Arabidopsis thaliana: one gene and its partner. The protein of the gene in region 1 interacts with the protein of each later gene in a pairwise test. Each region holds a gene or a part of one and is shown in the gene's direction. Other genes may lie near its edges.

Region 1 (4,119 bases):
AAAACAAACAAAACTAGAAAATCCAATTCAATCAATTTTATTGGAGCATTTAAGTTAATCTCAAGTAGTTTAAACTTGAAAGAGTTGGATTCACAACTTATTGTATACACGAGAAAAAATGTAACAAACGATATTCCAAAAAAAAAAGTCAATTAAAGTGAACTTATCAGAATAACATTGTTCTTCATCATGTTTAAAACCCCAAAACAAAATCCAATTGCAAACACCGGTTTCTCAATGTACATCTCTCAAAAAAACATAGTAAACGACTGTACATAATGAAAATGGGAACTCTTTCTATGAACCATCGAAGACTCCAAGTATTCTATTACACTGGTTAGGGAGTTGAAAAGAAGTAAACCATAATGTGTCAAATCCGATCCAACATCAATTCCGTTAGCGCTTAAGAAGTCTTTTTGCATCTGCAATATCCTGCAATATAACAATAGCACCAAAACAAACTAGTACATAATCAACATTAACAACAGCTAGGAGCAAAAGCACTAGTCAAGAACTTAATTTAACCTTAATTAACAATTCGAGTTAACAAAGAAAGAAAAGAGTACTGAAAGTACCCGCTGCAGAAAAACTGCTTCTTTAGGAGAGGTAGGGAACTGCACTAAACCGATTCCAACAATTAATAGCAAAGGACACTACAACGTATATAGGTAGCTGGTGCAAAGATATACATTATTAATATTGACTAACTGAGAATAGCAATAAGCAAAAATGAGCACAACAGACTCATTACTAACCAACTATGTTTGGCTACGAGCCATAATTGCAGCCTGCAAGAGAGCAAACTAAAAGGCAGAGACAGCTACCAGCAGGCTCAAAATCTTGACCACATGCTTCATTGTCCTTGAAACAAAGTTTATGTAAGATTTGAGTATTGACAATATACCAGAAAAGAGGACTACACTAATGCATTTTCCGATTTCTTGCATATTTGGAGCTGACCATGAACGGGTGCCATTAAAGGATATCTATAGAAGTGAATTCCTTCAAATAACAAATTGCCAATTCTAAATCCATTACGCATAATTTCCACACATCTTAAGCAACTTATGTCCAGACCAGAATCTAGCATAGTCATGATAACTAAAAGAACAGTAAAATGCAACCCAAACCATCAAAATGGGAAAGGAAAAAAAAACGACTTTTCACATTTTCTTGGATCTCATAATACAAGCGGTCAGGAGCTCAAAGCCCTTTAAGCATAATTTGTAGAACCTGAATCTTAAAAAAAAAAAGAAACACAAATACATGATTTCCCACCGTTCCTCAGGATTTTAAACATTCTATAGTCAGATCCTCAGGAAATCAAAGCCATTACACAACACATTTCAGAACATTATAGGCTAAATGATTTGAAAACTTGAATCCTAAAATTCATTAAGCTGCCCCAAAACCAAGCTTCTACTAACAAAACAAACTACAATTAACCATCCGAATCAAACCATGCACCCAAAACTCGAATTGAAATTTGATATATCTAACAATGATTGAGCTGCCATCAGAATGAATTATTAGAAAATAATTTTGTCACGGTTCCTTCAGACCAGAGTAAACTCCAATCATCCGAAACTCAAAACCCTTGCGCAAAATTTTCAATCATCATTTGGCAACTTATTCAATCAAACCAACAACGAAAATAAACAAAAGGTTACATAAAACTAACCAAGCCTATGTTCTAAAGCAAACGAAATCAAAAAATTCAAACAATCAATAAGATGCTCCACTATTTGCGGGAGAGATGGAACCTTTAAGCTCACAGATCTCGCCGCCATTCTCAATGTTTCTTCGGCTGTTTTAAATAGTTGTGTCATTAGGGTTTTTATTCAGGTCTTAAAATCATGGGTATAATCGTCAATTTCACAAAATAAGCCTTTGTCCTGGATAAGCTAAACCAGTTTCCAAACAAATCTTGCTTCGATTCACAAATTATTACGATTGCAATCCCTAATTTGGAAGTCCCGGTTCCTCTTTCGATCAAATCGGAGAATTTCACGGCATGGCTACGGCTGTTGGTGGCGGAAGCGATGTGGAGGTTGGATTTGCGAAGCTTCAAGGTGAGGATTTCGAGTACTATATGCAGTCTTACTCCATTATACTCGGCCGGAATTCTAAGAAAGCCACCGTCGACGTTGATCTCTCATCCCTCGGCGGTGGGATGAACATCTCGCGCAACCACGCTCGGATCTTCTATGACTTCACTAGACGACGCTTCTCTCTCGAGGTCCTTGGCAAAAATGGCTGCCTCGTTGAAGGTGTTCTTCATCTCCCTGGGAATCCTAACGTCAAGCTCGATTCACAAGACCTTTTGCAGATCGGAGACAAAGAGTTCTACTTTCTCCTACCGGTTCGGAGCATCTTAGGCGGGCCGTTGGGACCTAGGCACCACGTCTCTGGGCAAACAAGTGTTGTTCCATACCATAATTATCAGTCGGGTCCAGGTTCTGGGTCGGGTAAGAAGGGCGTCAGGAGTAGAGAGTTGTATGAGTACGATGATGAAGATGATGATGACGACGACGATGAGGAGGACGATATGAGAGGAAGTGGAAAGAAAACAAGGAGAGATGGACATGAAGTAGTATATGCTTCCGGAGGTAAAACCAGATTGCTCATGATTGTTTGAGTTTTCATTGTGCAACTAGATATGTTTCAGATTATGATGCTTACTTGATCACATCAGGCTTGTTTCTTTAGACTTTGATTGTGGTGGTTGCTGATTGAACCTTGTTAGACTTGGATTGAATTTGAATGCTAGTGACACCACGACATTGTATCTGCTTCATTTGTGCAGAGAAGAAGAGAGAGGGAAGATCAAAGGTAGATCGTGAAGCTGATGATCAACAATTTTTGCAGCTGGAGGAAAAAGATGTTGTATCGTCTGTTGCCACTGTGCTTTCCGATTTGTGTGGTCCGGGAGAGTGGATGCCTATGGAAAAACTTCATTCGGTGGTTAGTTTTTATGAGAAAGTTCCTTGCCTTTTTCTAATACAGAATGTAGTACGAGTAATCAATTGAAACAAGACTTGTATAATGTCAAGGTGATAATTAGTGTGAAGCTAGGTCCTTAATTAGTTTTCCAATGGAAACGCGCTACGCTACTTATATGTGTCTAAGTCTAGAAAGTATGTCAGTTACTCCATAGATTTTGAATGACTAGTGTAGTCTGACTATGAACTTCTTTGTGATTCAATATGATGGCTAATGCATGGTAGTGGTTGGTCTGTGACAGATATTAAAGGAGTATGGAAACGTATGGCATCACAGTCGAGTAAGAAGATACCTATCACAAGAAGACTGGGCTATCCCTGAAGCAAAAGGTAAACCATGGTACGGTTTGCTGATGCTGCTGAGAAAATACCCGGAGCATTTCGTCATCAACACGAGATCAAAGGGAAGAGTTACCCTTGAATTCGTTTCCCTCGTTACCCTACTCTCATGAGAACTTTACCTTAGTGACTCGGATTAAGATTTAAGAAGCTTTTCTCTCTTTTCTTTGTTTCATATGTAAAATATTTTGGCATTGATTAGTAACACGCTGTGTCGTTTTTCTGCACCCAAAAACGCCAACTTCTTGGTCCTTGCAGTTGAGAGATTTTGATTTTCTTTTTCTTGATTCTTATTTTTGATAAACCCATCGAGATTTTTCTTTCATCAAAGGGCAAAAAATTCGTGCCAATTCAGAAATCGTTATGTTCGGTGGATTTGGGCCATAAAAAGAGAAAAGGCCGAAACAGAGAATGATCCAAAGTGGCTCAAGTACGTATCCAGACAATATAAAAAGGTTGGAATGTGCAAACTTAGGGTTATACTCGTATCTTGTAGCAGCCACTAAAGCAAAATTCTGAGATCGAAAAAGCTATATAAAAAAAAAAAACTGCTTCCGTTTCATCGATTTTGTCCAGATCTTCCCCTTCTTCCGGTAATCGAAGCTTACGAGATAGTTGAGTGAAGATGATCTATGATGTGAACTCTGGTCTATTCAGATCCTTCCTGAGCCAGAAGGGTAGCTCGTCCGACAAAAGGTACAAAATCTTGTCTTGTCTGATCCAAATATGAGATTATCTCGATGTTGTTCCCAGATCTATCTATTGATGTGTCATTCTT
Region 2 (3,130 bases), on another chromosome or scaffold:
ATTTCGAAATTTATCTCACAACACTTTACCTCTCCAACATTATCAAGGTCTGGACTGAACACATGGAGTCTTGCACCCACCGGTTGTTTAATCAACAGCTTAAACGCTTCATCCAAACTCTTAGTCTCAATCACTTCTCCTTTCATGGGCACGCGGGGTATGTGACAAGCAAATGGGGGAGCCTTGAATGTACATCCCACATGTGCCCAATGTTCTCTTCTCGGTAGCCCTTTCTTGAAAGCACATTCAAGGCAGTCTTTGACAGTGAGTGGTTGCTCCCTCTCCCTGCACATCTTACCTCTTATTCCAGACATTTTCCACCATATACTGATGCAAGTTTTCGATAGTGAACTGAGAGCTTGGTTCATCCATTTCTCCCTGGTCGTCTTCCTTCCCAGCATTATCCACCAAATACTGAGCTGAGACGCATCTGCAAGACAAAAAAAAAATGAAAATGTTGTAGTCAATTCATATGACTCTTTCAAAGGATTAGACTATATTAAAAAGGGAGTAAACTACTATCAGCTAAAATCAATCACAGTATCTCTTAACGATGCGAATAAAGTAATGTTCTCTAGAACAAGATTTGATTCATTTACCGTAATCTTCTTGCTCACTACTTGCTTTTACGCAATCTGGATGACAGAGGCCACGCGTCTTTGCCATAGATTGCATGAATCGCTGAATCATATTCATCTTCGATTACTTATCCCTGGTTTCAAGTAGAATCCAGCAGAAGAACACATTCAGAAATCCAGTAGAGTCAAGCAGATAAGGCAAAAGGAAAAACAAAAACAAGACCTAACTAGCGAAAACCATAAACATGGTTTCAAGTTTTGACATAAACACAACCATTTCTAGTTGCAGAGGAAAAATCGTCGAACAAGAAGCTTTAGAGTAAACCAAAGTAACAATGATAGCTTCCATTAACAAAGAACAACTCTAACGTTAAAAAGGATTCAAATCATTCATCCAAAAAAAAAAGTTCAAACCCTAAAGTTTATCTCTGTTCACTAATAGCACTGAGAAAGGCCAAGTCACGGAGTAGAATCGGTAACAAATCCAAAACAAGCTAAAAGAATCCAACAGAGAGAGAAAATTGAGAGAAATTACCGGAGACACAGAGAGACGAGAATCAGAAGGAGAAGACATTCGCAATCGCCGTCGCGTCGAGAGAAACTCAGAGAATGTTCGCGAAACAAACTCTCACAGTCGTCGCGAAGATTTCCCCTCAGCTTTGTCCCGAAACGTGTCGCCTTTTTAAGACTTCAACTTTAGTCCTCAAGACGACGACGTTTGAAACTTTCCTTAAAACGTTGCCGTTTTTATGACATTGCCAATGTTTTTAAAAGTCTTTTTAACAACATCGTTTTTGCCTGTTTATTTAAGGGCAACAATTATAGTTTAACAACAATTTTCTTTTAGGCTCCAATGATGATGATCCAACATTTTGTTTTTCCGAGTTAGACATCGACTTATTCGTTGTAAATAGATTTTTTCTCTTTCTTCTTGAAAGAGTACTTGTTCTAAAAGTTTAGAGAGTGGATACCATTTTTTGTGCAACCGATCACGATCATGTCAATGCATTTTTTGGAGAGCAAGAAAATATTTGAGGCATAAGCTTCTTCAAGTACTAATACAAGTATCTCTCCATATCAGAAGAGCAAGAAATCTTCCAGTCTTTGAACATTATTTAGATAAGTAAAAGAATAATCTTGTTTTTTAGTTTGTAAAAAGATATAAGACAAAATAAGTTTAAAAAGAAAATAGTAGACAAAATATCATACGCTAAAACCAACATTACAAATTTGAAAAGAAAAAATGTGATATTGGCTTACTTATCTAATTTTAAGAATATTGGCTTTGAATTACATGGATATATTTCCTTTTTAAAGAATCGTTTTCCTAATATATTAAAAATCCTTAAAATCCACATATATATACGAAATCACCTTTTCTATTTGTCTACCTGAAAGTTTCAAGTCTTCAACGCGTTTATTATTGTTTTTCAGTTTTGCTCTAAAGATCATTTGTTGTTCCCCTTGGATTATTGCTATAATATATAGATCCTTAACTTTTTGTCTGATTTGCGTTTTCTTTGTCTCATAGAACAAGAAAAGAATATGTCGATGGTTAAGTACTACGATAAAGAGGAACATGTTGGGTTTTGGTTTCATCCTTCTGCCCAAGAACTCATCATCCGTTATATCGGGCCTAAGGTTACCAAAAGATCAAATAAAGAATTTGAATTAGAAGACAAGTTTGACATCTATGCCAAAGAGCCGTGGCGGTTGTCTCACACCGAGACTAACTTTTTGGAACCTAATGAATGGTTCTAGTTCGTGAAAGTGAATCATCTCTCTGAAAACGTTACTGGAAAACGCATCAGCCGCAAAGTCAAAGGAGAGACGGTTGATGGATGTTGGAAAGGCCATGGGAAGTTGAGTGATGTCGTGTTGGAAGATACCGGTGCAGTGATTGGGAAGAAGTCTAAGTTTCTACGTCAAAGGTGAGAGACAAGCCAGTGGTTGGACCATGACAGAATACTATCTCGAAAACGGTGGCTCATTATTCCATGTTCAAGTTCTCTGCCACCTTAAAGGACCATGATTATGTGTCTTGGTAAATTTTCAGTGAAGAGGATAATAACTTCTACTTCTATCTTATTTTACTTCAATTTTGTGTCTAGTTTGATATTTCCCTTTGCATAATTTATTTAAATTCCTCATAAAAACTTTAGGAAAATCTCGTATATTCTTGTTTATTTAAAGACATGTAGATCATTATTTTTATGAGGAGTTTGTAACTGCTCACCTTCTTGTTTTCACAAACGAAAAAATATTTTCTTGTTTTGAGGATCAAAGAGATTATCTCATCTAATATATGAGATATTAATAATGATCAGGCCCATCCATGCCTATGAAGGAAAAAGAGAAACTTTGGCCTACGAAATGGATAAGAAATTGGTTAAATTAATGGGAGATTTGCAAAACTATATTTTTTGACTACCTTTTTGCCATAATACTCTTTTATATTATTTATTTTTAAAAATATCTTTTTTCTTGAACAGAATGACCAAATTACCCTCATTTAATAATAACAAGTACTTGGAAACTTTCAATTTCCCGCC

The links. The genes of interacting proteins can lie anywhere in the genome.
Region 2: the proteins of FHA2 (region 1) and AT5G18037 interact in a two-hybrid assay, tested with the Arabidopsis thaliana proteins (one large-scale study listed by BioGRID).

What each region holds. Positions count from the first base shown.
Region 1 is NC_003074.8:2,295,954-2,300,072, forward strand, and holds FHA2 (SMAD/FHA domain-containing protein), read left to right. Parts: upstream 1-1,932; 5' UTR 1,933-2,014; coding exon 2,015-2,609; intron 2,610-2,806; coding exon 2,807-2,964; intron 2,965-3,244; coding exon 3,245-3,454; 3' UTR 3,455-3,619; downstream 3,620-4,119. Other genes in the region: AT3G07230 (wound-responsive protein-like protein), read left to right, coding at 3,967-4,037. UniProt on the Arabidopsis thaliana protein: May play a role in the control of plant organ development and specifically in the regulation of stamen development. Does not show transactivation activity in yeast.
Region 2 is NC_003076.8:5,970,522-5,973,651, reverse strand, and holds AT5G18037 (NAC (No Apical Meristem) domain transcriptional regulator superfamily protein), read left to right. Parts: upstream 1-2,085; 5' UTR 2,086-2,123; coding exon 2,124-2,339; 3' UTR 2,340-2,551; downstream 2,552-3,130. Other genes in the region: AT5G18040 (target of trans acting-siR480/255 protein), read right to left, coding at 30-430, 600-696.